2 linked regions of the Caenorhabditis elegans genome follow. The protein of the gene in region 1 purifies or fractionates together with the protein of each later gene. This does not show direct contact. Each region holds a gene or a part of one and is shown on either strand. Other genes may lie near its edges. The genes, in order: cht-3 and C01G10.7.

Region 1 (8,209 bases):
TCTCGATGAAGAGAAAGGACAAAAAGAAGCCAAAGTGATCTGATCTTTCGGGAATAAAGTTTTGATATTTTTGACTTGAGATGTTAATTCTAGACAGTAATAAGACCTGAACTTTTTGAAGAGAAGTGTAGAATGCAATAAAGCTTTAAATTCGAAAAAATCCGAACAGTCAAAGATGATTTTCACGATACTATCTTTTTTTAGAGATACTTCCGGATCGGTTATGTGTATTCAAAATTAAGTATACAAAGTTGCTCACTTGTTTTCGAATTTGCGTCGAATAAAATTGAAAAAAGAGCTGGCTCGAAAAGTTGGCTGGGGGATCATGGAGCCTTATTACTGTACTCTGGTTGACGTAGTTGGCTCACGGAGCTGGCTCTGGTTCATGGAGCCTTGTTACTTCCGACTGACAGCAGAGAATCCAGTCTTTGGGAGCAAATCCCCTTATGCCATTACTTATTCGTGACTAGGAATTTTTCTAGGTTTTTTCTAATTGTAGCAGTATCATAGAATGTTGAAATAGGAAACGAAAAAACTTTTTTAAAAACGAAACAACTTTGTATTTTTATTCGTAATTGAAGATTTGTTGAAACAGGCAAAAATAAGTGAAATTTGACAAAGCAAAGTTGAGCAAAAAAGTGCAAGAAAAAACAATATTGAAACAAACATTCATATTGTGAATTGATACTTGAAATTAACGGAAGAAAAATCATTGATTGTAAGGCAACATGTTTAACCTCAAAACCCATATTAGCCGTTTCTTCCCTCTATTCCTTACTCATTTATGTGAGAACTGCAGATGTTGCAAACTCGTCATAAATAACTCGTTTGGGTGATGACAGTAATGTCATGTCACATTAAGAAAAGAAATGAAATCATATGAGATATTGAGAAATACATGAAAATTTAGTTCTGCTGAAACGAAAAAGTGCTCATATTTATGAAAACACTCATTCAGATTTCCGAGAATTATGATAATATCACGGAAAGTTTTATTTTAAAAAATGCTCTGTGCCGCTTTTGTCGATACAACTTCTGAAATTTTCAAAACCACCGCGGTGCCTCCCAGTAGGACTTCAAAAATTTATCTACCCATCTTGAGATCAAAACTTTCGAATAATTTTTGGCGACTGTCTTTTATAAATCAGGTTAAACTCCCAATGGATCTTTTTGCTTTGTCGCCTTATTCAAAACAATATCCCAAATAAATGAAATATTGTAGGATTTGTGTGACAGTTAGAAAACTAACTTGTGAGGCGGCAAAAATGACGAATTATTTTCTGTCTAGGGACACTATCCCCACCCGAGAAAAAGTAAAAACGCCGGCGACAACTACAAGAAGGACGAGGACAAAAGTGTTTCTTGTCAGGAGAAAAGAAGGGAAAAGGGTTTGTCAACATACGGAATACTGAAATATTGGTCCCCAGGGAGATCAAAATTGAAAACGGAAGGTTAAGGGAAAAAGTGGGTGGTTATGAAACATTGAGATCTTATTGAAAACCGAGGGAGAGTTAGAAATGGTTTTGACAAAAAAGTGAAAGACAATTTCGTAACTGTAAAATTCCTTGATATCTTGTGGAAATGTACCTGTCAGGGGTGTGAGGTGATCAAATTTACCGTTGCACCCAAAATGGAGCAATTATTTCTAACCTTTGAAGGCTAAAATGTTTTAAAATTTCAAAACAAAGACAGTTTTTCTTCAACTGCAGGCTCGAAAAACCTTGAGAAGTTGGAAATATGTCAATTGATTTGGAATTTATTCTCTAATTCTGATTTAACGTGAAGTTTATGGATACCAAACTTTAAATTTAAAAAAACTACAAAACTTTCTACAAGCATCCGTATCTCTATTTAAAAATAAAACATTTTCTTACATCATGCAATTGTTTCCCAGAGAGCCAACAACCAGTCAAATCTCGGTTTCAGCGACGAAATTTCAAATCAATCACCTAAAAACCAATAACATGTGGTATGCGAGGCTTTTGGATCTTCCGCCCACTTTATCATTCCCGAATCGCTTTTTTTATCTGCAGGTCAGCTCTTTTTTCTGGTTGAATCTGGGCACGAAAAATCGTATATAAAAGAGATAGAATCAGCATGCTTCTGTCATTTTTCCTCAGAGTTTTTCACCTTCTTATTGTGTTTTTATAATCTTTCTTCTTTTTAGAGATGGGTATAAAAACCCTCATTTGGCTGTCAATACTTGTAGTAGGCATATACTGTGAGATAAGTGATGAAGATGCTCCTGTTCATTATTGTTTTGTCAATCCTCCACCGGTAAGCAGCCATAAATGTTATCAAACAAGCAATGTCAATCAGAGTTTCAATTAAAAAATATTTTTTACTAAATATTGGTTTAATAGTTTTGATAATTGTAAAAGGCTCCAAATTGCAGAAAACTCGTCTCTCCCCAAATCTTCTTCAAAACATCACAACGTGCACCCATTTAGTGTATGGAAGTATTCCAATTGATCGAGACACTGGATATCCACAGTACAGTGTATCCGATGTTGAGTCTGGATATGATATTGACAATATTCGAACTTTCATGAGATTGAGAAAATATCATCCAAATGCCAAACTCTTGATGGGAGTTGTTAGAACAAAACCGTTTGAAGACGCGGCTACATCGGTGAAGGTTGCAAACGGGCTCCGATCTCATGTGAAGAGCAAGTGAGTTTGAGAATTTTGGGAAATTGGTCATCACAGCTTTATCAAAACTAAAATTTATTTTCCAGAAGATTCGATGGTTTATTTGTAACTTTCAACGGCATTCACCTTGAGTATCGAGCCTCAACGAGTTTTCTTGAAACGATTTCAAAAGACAAAAAGATGTCGTTAACATTTGGAGTCACAGGAAGAAGAGTTTTTGCATTTGATGCATTAAGACGACTTCAAGAAATCAATGATCTCGTTGAGTATATCTATTTGGATATGGGAGAATTGCCAGTAAGTATTTTCAGTTTAAAAAATGGTTGACTGGAGTTATTTTTAGTCAAACGAGGAACTTGCCAGAGTCACACACATAAATCCACTTTTCTATAATGGATCAATTCCGTTTGAGGAAACAATTCAAGGAACTGTCGAAGAGTAAGTCAAAATATATAGGTGAATTAGATCCAATACGGAATTTTCAAAGTCTGTCTTTTGAAAAATTCCAAATATCACAGTAAAACTTTTTCACTTTGATTTGTGTTTAAGTTATTGTCAAACATAGCCACTTCCTCATTTTTTGCAATTCATAATTTTGGAAAATGTTTTTTTTTTAATTTTACTGTTTCTTATGTTATTATTATCTTTTCATTTATTTTTTTTACCATCCGATGCTTTCAAAATGTTGAAAGAAAGTTACAAAATTCTGCAAAAAATTTTCAAAAAATGTTTAAAATTCTAAAACATTTTTAATAACGAAGGTTTTTACTCGTTTTGTGTATAAAACACCTATTGTCGTAACAATAAAAATTTAAGGTTGTCAAAAGAAGGAATTCTCCCTTCACGTATCGTAGTTGGACTGACTGCTGGAGGATGGAAATTTGAAATCAAAGAGACTCAAGATCCATTAAAAATCTCTCATGGACAATATGCTGAGAATAATGGAAAACGAGTTTCTTATCAAGATGCTTGTAGAGCTAGAGGAGCTGTCATTTATGATTGGCAGACTATGAATGAAATTACCGTGTACCGTCAGACGTGGATGAGTGTTAATCTACCAACAATTAAGGCTATGGGAGAAAAGGTCGTTGCAACTTATGCTTTAGCTCATGAAACCTATTGAATTCCAGATGAAATGGATATTGGGTCAAAAGTTTGCTGGAATTGGTATTAGCCACGCCCTCTTCGATGATCCACGTGGAGACTGTGGTACAGATCCGTTGCCAGCTCATCGTCTTGTCATGGAACTAATTCGTAATACTATTCCTGCGAATCCAGCCAAATGTACAAGACTCTGCTATTTGGATCCGGAGGAGGTTGAGGAAACATTCCCAATTGATAATCTGAAATCTGACTACTGTAGTCATATTGTTGTTCCATACTTCGCCCTTGATCTCTCCGACAAAATGATTGAAGAGGATAAAGCCGAAGATCTGGTGAAGAAAATTGATGATTGGAGAAGCAAAATAGTTGAAGTGGCACCGAGGGTAAGAACTCTTTGAAACCGTTTTCAGATTTCAAAGGAAAACTATTTCAGCTTATTCTTTCTGTCGGATCAAAACAAGCCTCAACAATATGGCAATTCCTCCTTGGAAACGATTTTCATAGAAAAGAACTTGCTGAAGGTCTTGTTAAAGCAATCAATTCAACAAACGCAGATGGGCTTGAGATTTCGTGGACTTCTCAACCAATGGTCAGCGATTTTGATAAGAAGAATTTGAAATCATTTATCAATGATATCGTCGCAGCGGACACAGCAAAGATGGTGGAGATCGTTGTGGCAACTTCACAACAGAGCGCTTATTCGGACTTTTATGATTATGAGCATTTGAACAAGTTGGTTTACTTTAATATAATATTTATTTTAATTCAAAAATTTTAGAACTGCATCACTAATTGTCCTTCACTCTCATCGTCTTCACTCGGATTCTCTTCCATTCACAGGACATCCTTCACCTCTTCGTGCCACTTCATCAATGACTAATCAAAAAATGAGTTGGGAATCGTTGCTCTCTCACTGGGTCGAAAAACGTGTACTCCCTTCAAAACTTGTATTGTCTCTGAGTGCATCCACTTTATCCATGCAATCACTTGCTGATGTGAGAAGCTCAGCTGCAACTCCATTTGGACAATCAGCTTTTGTGTCAATGTTGAGATCGAAAAAAGGAGATATTCATAGTCAGCAGGAGATCTGTGAAAGCCTGAAGTCTGGAACTGGTGTCACTCATTGGGTTGATGGAGCTGAAGTACCATATTTGAGGTAAGTAATATTTTGGGATTTATGGTGAACTGAGCCCTTTGAGAATTTTATTCTAAATTATTTCAAATAAACTTCCCCAGTGTACAAAGCGAAAAAGTTTAAGCCAATTTAATGACATGAGAAAAACTGGAAATTAGTTTCGTATTTCTATCTCAATTTAACAAAATAATATTTTTAAATTTATATTTAAGTATAAATACGGAAAATGATTTAGCAAGTCAATTTCCAGTGGTTCAAGTTACTACCAGGACCAAAATGTGAATTATCACAAAATGCAATAACTTCAGACGATACGATCAAATGGTAGCATATGAGAATACTCGTAGTGCTCACATCAAAGCAGTATGGGCATCAATGGAAGGTGTTGGAGGACTTGCTCTTCACAACATGCACCAGGACGATCCGAGTGCAGTTTGTGATAACCGTACTGCATTCCCCATTTTAAATGCTCTTTCTCGTGCTCAAGTTTGTCAGACTTGCCTGAAACAGCATGACTTCAAAAAGTGTGAACAACACGATTTCGTGGTTAGCTGCAATTTTGAATTGAAGAGGAGCACTCGTAAGCTTTTTTTTGGATTTTCTGATGTGTGAAATTTGAAACAGAAAATTTTATTTTTGAAAAATTTAATATTTTTCAGCTGTTTTCAAAACGGACATTGTCCCATACGAGCGTTGCACGGAAGTTGTCGTTGAGCAGGCAACACTCACTTTAGGTGGAAATGTGAATTTCAATGATGTTCAACAAGAACAAGTTGTTAAGAATTTGGTAAGTTTTCGCACCTGCCTTGTAGTCTATAATGAGTTTTAGACATCATTGAGGTCAAAAATGGTTAAATGTGGAATGGTGCTTTCACTATCATGCGGTGATTCTGAGAAATATTTGAATTCAATTCTTGGTGGTGAGTTTCATTTTACAATTTGTAAATTACAAATTAAGATCATGTTACCTGGAAGAAAAGCTCTTAAACATATTCCTGAAAGCTTTTTCAGTGCATACTTCCAATATTCGATTTTTTTTATTTTTTGCAAACCTATTACGACTTTGAGAGATTTTAAGGTGGCCGAGGATTCTGAAGTTTTTGAAAATGAAACAAAATCTGAAAAATCTTGATGCGGTTGGGTGTCTGAAAATCCAAAAGTTAACTCGTACATGATTTTTATTGAAAAGCATTTGATTTTTGTTAACTTCGAAATTAAGCCCATAACCAATTTTTCCATATTGTAGACAACATGACATTTGCAATTGGCAACGTGATGAATATTATGGAAAAGTACAAATTTTCTGGAGTACAATTGGATTGTGAAAAAGTGATTCGCAGAGGAAACCATGTAATTTATTAGGTTTAAGAATAAATTACCTATGAATCTATTCAGATTTACTTCAACACATTCGTCAAAAAATTGGCACAGAAGTTTGAAAGCGGCAAGGCTTCCAATGGGTGTAACAGGACACTTTCAGCAAGGCAACCTTTTCATAGAGGTTTTTAAAAAGCTATATATCCCATTATTTCAGATTTTCCCATTACACACAAAAGCCGTCAACGTACTACAGTGTATCTCTATTGAATCGTCTGTCTCACATTGCATTAAGAATGACTGATAAACATTCCGTTGATCTTCCATTCTTCTTCAATCACACAAAGCCTGAGTTCCCGTCAACTGAGAAATTTGTGAATATTTGGAAGAATGTGGGACTGAAACCGGATAAGCTAGTTTTGGAACTCTCGCCATTTGGTTGGCAGACTGGAAAGAAAGTGGGGGAGAAGAAGAAAATGACACAAGGAGTTAATTGTGTAACTGCTGGGAATAGAGCTGTCTACGAACATGATTATGAAACATTGACAGGAATGACCAAACATGAAAATGGAACTATCAACATGCCAATGATTGAAGATTTTAGATACAAAGTAAGTTTCTTTTTTGGCATTTATAGCTCCCGTGATGACTGATTTTGAGATCTGGCGAGACCCCACTTAAAAAAATAAAGTTTCACATTTTCACGAAAGTAGAATAAATTACTGTTTTGTTTAAAGGGGGACTAACGGTTCGGACGATTTTGAATAGACTCAACATGGGCTCAAAAGAACAAATTTCGTAATGAAACTTCTCAAAAAATAATATCAAAAATTTTTTGTGGCAGTTCAAAATTTGAAAAAGTTACACTGCTATTAGGTAAAATCTCGTTTTTACCCACTTTTCCATATCGCGGTCCGAAGTTGCCCTTTTTTTGAATTATTGTTCTTTATTGCATATTTTGGTAGTCTATATCATTTAATTTCGTTTATTACAGTACATTTGAAGCCGATAGGTAACCAATTTTGATGATTTTTGGTTACCTATCGGCTTTTAATGTGCCTTTACCGACAAAATTTAATAAGATAAACTTCCAAAATTTGGAATAATGGATGTACAATAATCAAAAATTTTCAAAAATTTTTTGTAAACTTTTTGAAACAGTAATTTTTTTCAAAATTTCTCAAAATGTGATTGTTTTTGAAAATCTGATAATTTTCCAACAATTTGACGGAAAAATTTGCTAATCGTAAGTCTAAAATCTTTTGAAAGGTTCCATTATGATATTCTGTCATGTTGTATTATTAAAAGTTTAACAAAAGCCACATTATATTATAGCTGAAATCTCTACAAATACAGTACATATAATAATTTTTCTAGAAATTCTGGAAATTCTATCAAATTTCTAGGATTTTTTATTCAAGTATTCAAATTTTCAGATTGGTTACATCCAACGTGAACAGCTCGGCGGTATTGCATTGAATGTAAATGGAGATGACTATACTGGAATCTGTGGGCGTGGATCATTCCCAATTCTGAAATCTGTTTATAGTTCCCATAAGTGTCGTTAATTTCTGAAACTTCACAATTTTGATAAATAATTATTTTATTTCGTTTGATATCGATAATGGATGAGTTCAACTCTCCCACACGACCAAATTTTTTTTTACGAAAAAAAAGGGAAAAAGCGGGGAAGGGGGAATTGGGACACCATTTACAAAATATGAATGGTTTTTGTTCAAAGTTCCCAGTGATAATAATGTAGACTTAGTTGGTGCTAGAGGAAGTTCATTTAACTTGGACAAATTAACAAATTTGTTGATTTTGACGGTGAATATTCTGTGATCGAGGAATTCCTTGAACCAGAAACAAGCTAGTCAAGACCGAACTTGGCAAGTTTTCCTAAGAGACTGTGTGAAACTTTGTTAAAGGCTTTAACAAAATCAAAAAATATAATATAAAGAGATTTTTCTTTCATTAGAAGTGAATGGTAGAGGGAAGCCA
Region 2 (3,519 bases), on another chromosome or scaffold:
ATTTAGAACACAAACACAGATTGATATAAAATAAATAAATTGAGAAAGCGGTTTAGAAGATCGGAGAACATCAAAAACAGGAGATTTGCAATTTTTCATTTTTTCACATTCGCTGGCTGAATCCGAAAGTACGACCAATGCTTGAAAGGTAGTAACGATCGAGTCCTTGTTGAGTTTCTTCAGCGAGATGAGTTGGAACATCTTTAGCGATGATTTTGATATCCGTTCCAGATCCCTAGAATTTATTATAATAGAAGGTTTATCCTCGTTTGTTCTAAAACTTACAGTATCTTTCAACTGGAAATGGATGGTTGCATGATGATTGTTTGGATACTTTTTCAGTCGCCATTTCTTCACAATCTCCTTGTTCGGCTCAATCTTCTCGAATGTTCCAGTCACGTTTTCCCCGAACAATGCAAATGATCCTCCTTCCTTGAAATTCCACTCTCCGATCGAATTGTTTGTCCATCCACGAACGAATTGAGTCTCTGTGAGCGCCTCGAAAACTCTATCCGGTGTGGCCTTGTAGGTATCGGAAGTTGAAACCTCTTTGGTGGAGAACACTTCATTTCCAGAAGTGGAAGCGTCCTTTTCCGCGACAACAGTGTTTTGGAACTGACGTTTGTCAACGACTGAAGTCTTTCCAGTAGTAACGACTTGTGGCTTCACTTTATCAGTTGGCAGAATGAGACCCTTGCTGAATTCTTCCTTCAATTCACGGATATAGATTCCCATAACATCTTGAATCTTTGCAATGAACGATTTGTTAAGAACTTGGCGGATTTGATGAGCCATTGGGCCATTTCCACTCAATGACGAATTCACATCCACTTCGGATGCATCGTTCTCATCACTCAAGTTTGGGATATCGAAAGTTCCTTTATATTCGTCTTCACTGCCAGAAACACGAGCAATGAATGTTCCTTCGATAACCCATTCAAAAAGGAAGATGAGCTTAGCCTTCCGGTTGTTTGCCGTTGCTTCTCCGTCGATCTTTTTGATCTCATCGATTGTCACGACAATTGGGCCATCCTGAAAACGAATACTCTTAATACGATCTTGTTCAACTATTAATTATACCTCGGACGAAAATCCGGTGAGAAGTTCACGGAGTCGGTTCAAAGACCACGGGGTTGCATTCTTCTCCGACCTAAAACATACTTATTCAGCTCAAAGCTATGACTTCAATCGAGACCCACCAATGCCAATTGTTTACGTTTGTTGCATCGGCTCGTTCTTCAACAATCCAGCGTGGATCTCCTTCTCCCCACTTGGCCATTTAAATTCCCTGAAATTAATTTAAGTCAGTTTATCGAGATTTTTAAGGTGAACATCAAGCCAGATTAAGTCGTTTTGTACTTAAAACAATGGAATTTCAATTTAAAACTTGAAAATAAATATTTAACGTTGAAATCAAAACAAGAAATCTTTGAAATTTCGTTGAAAACAGGAGAAACTCAATTAATTTCGAGAAAATTCATGAAAAATGGAAGAAACTAGGCCAGCAGGCCACGACCGCTTATCAATAGGGCGAGCTTGCATTGCAATTTTTGTGTGGATTTACGCACGTAATTGGTTATTTATTTTTGTTTTTTTTTTTCAGATTTTACGTTACACATTTTTTTAAAATAAATTAATTTTTTCAATTTCAGAAAAATGCTTCCTAAAACGATAATTAGGCACATCTCACAGTTTGCCGGAGTTCGGGACGCAGCAAAGTATGTTCCAAGACGTGCACTTCTATACGTTCCAGCCAGCAATCAAAAAATGCTGGATAAAGTTCCAATGATGCAAGCGGATTCAGTAGTTTTGGAGCTAGAAGATGGCGTTGCTCTGACGGCTAAAGCTGATGCTAGAGTTCGAGTACGTGAAAAGTAATTGGAAATTTGTCTACAATTTGAGTTTTCAGGCTGCGGCGGCTCTTGATAAACTGCCATATCACACATTGGCATGCCAGGAGCTTGGTCTACGTGTCAATTCTGTAAGCAGTGGTCTTCTCGAAGATGATATCATTGTAAGATTTATTTTTGAATTTTTCAAACTTTATCCTCACGAATTTTTTAATTTCAGGCAGTATCGAAAGCTGAAAAGTTGCCACAAGCATTTATGATTCCGAAAGTAGACTGCCCTGAAGACCTTGTCACCATCTACAACATCTTCCGTGAACACTACGGAGATGAACGGATCACAAACACGAACACTCGGCTTGTTATCTGGATCGAATCTGCACGAGCTCTTCTGGATATGCCACGAATAGTCTCATCAACTCTAAATCTTCATAAACAAGCCGGATTCTTCAAGCTAGATGCAGTTGTCTTTGGATCAGACGATTTCTGTGCAGATATCGGAGCTACACGAAGCTCTCACGGCACTGAAACCCTATTCGCTCGACAGAAATTTGTGACTTGCTGTAAAGCATTCCAACTTCAAGCAATCGACAGTGTCTACATAGATATCAAGGATCTTGACGGTCTCCGTCGTCAGTCTGCAGAAGGGTGGCAGTGGGGTTTCACTGGAAAACAAGTCATTCATCCAAGTCAAGTGTCTGTGGTCCAGGAGCAATTTCTGCCTCCGAAGGATCGAATCGAATGGGCTCAGGAGCTGGTCCACGCTTACAGTGAGCACGAGGCATTAGGAAAAGGAGCTTTCCAGTTTAGAGGACAAATGATCGATCGACCACTTCTGCTGCAGGCATTGAATATTATTCAGCTCGTGGAGAGAGTTCAGAATTAAATTCTAAATTCTAAATGTTGTAAAACTTTTTATGTACATTTTTAAATATAGCTCTAGTTGCCAGTGTAATATAATAAAAACGAGTAATTTTAAAATTTCTTTATTTGTTCAAATTCAGACAAATCACTTCTTTCCATAAGTCAAGTAATAAGTAGTGTATCCATTGCTGTTGCTCGGGTAGTAGTAAGTGTATCCATTATTGTTACTGCAGCCGGAGCAACCATTATTGTATCCATTGTTATCGTAATAGTAATAAGTTTGACCATTATTGTTATTATTATTATTATTCGGGTAGTAGTAATAAGTCGTGTATCCGTTATTGTTATTGTTGTTGTAACCGTTGTTCGGGTAGTAATAGTAGAGCTGAAACAAAAAAATGGGAATCAGATAATCAATAGGAACTTACATAATAAGCGTTGGCAGTGGAGAAAAGCACGAGAAGAGTGGCGATCAGTGTAAGGAATCTCATTTTCTAGGAGAGATCAAAGCGAAGTTTATGTTTTCCCCTCTTTACTCGAATCTTTTATACACTTTTACCCTACTCAACATCAAGCTCCACCTCCGTGGCTCCCTTTTGATCTCTCTCTCTTTCAAGAGAAGGGCTAACAGTTTACCAACTCTCAAAAGACTACACATTCCTTTTAATCCTTAACTTTGCTCTTTTTCGGCTTCTTTTCGACCAGAGGAGAGAGGTAACAAGGAGACAATTGTTTGTCTTTTGAGTGCCCCCAATGGCATCCACTATCACTCCACGCCCTTCCAAAAGAGTAGGGGGGGAAAAGCCCC

The links.
Region 2: the proteins of cht-3 (region 1) and C01G10.7 fractionate together in Caenorhabditis elegans (co-fractionation; one large-scale study listed by BioGRID). This does not show direct contact.

Annotation. Positions count from the first base shown.
Region 1 is NC_003282.8:7,001,456-7,009,664, forward strand, and holds cht-3 (Chitinase-like protein C25A8.4), read left to right. Parts: upstream 1-2,167; 5' UTR 2,168-2,169; coding exon 2,170-2,277; intron 2,278-2,395; coding exon 2,396-2,673; intron 2,674-2,738; coding exon 2,739-2,949; intron 2,950-2,995; coding exon 2,996-3,090; intron 3,091-3,468; coding exon 3,469-3,736; intron 3,737-3,782; coding exon 3,783-4,139; intron 4,140-4,189; coding exon 4,190-4,488; intron 4,489-4,534; coding exon 4,535-4,912; intron 4,913-5,199; coding exon 5,200-5,471; intron 5,472-5,550; coding exon 5,551-5,678; intron 5,679-5,720; coding exon 5,721-5,811; intron 5,812-6,137; coding exon 6,138-6,241; intron 6,242-6,286; coding exon 6,287-6,375; intron 6,376-6,425; coding exon 6,426-6,819; intron 6,820-7,303; exon of another isoform or gene 7,304-7,324; intron 7,325-7,644; coding exon 7,645-7,776; 3' UTR 7,777-7,813; downstream 7,814-8,209. Other genes in the region: C25A8.5 (Tyrosine-protein kinase), read left to right, coding at 1-38. UniProt on the Caenorhabditis elegans protein: Putative chitinase.
Region 2 is NC_003283.11:15,084,095-15,087,613, forward strand, and holds C01G10.7 (Citramalyl-CoA lyase, mitochondrial), read left to right. Parts: upstream 1-1,652; 5' UTR 1,653-1,656; coding exon 1,657-1,863; intron 1,864-1,909; coding exon 1,910-2,014; intron 2,015-2,070; coding exon 2,071-2,733; 3' UTR 2,734-2,824; downstream 2,825-3,519. Other genes in the region: ahsa-1 (Activator of Hsp90 ATPase AHSA1-like N-terminal domain-containing protein), read right to left, coding at 104-235, 286-1,032, 1,081-1,150, 1,200-1,279; C01G10.15 (FIP (Fungus-Induced Protein) Related), read right to left, coding at 2,857-3,096, 3,140-3,202.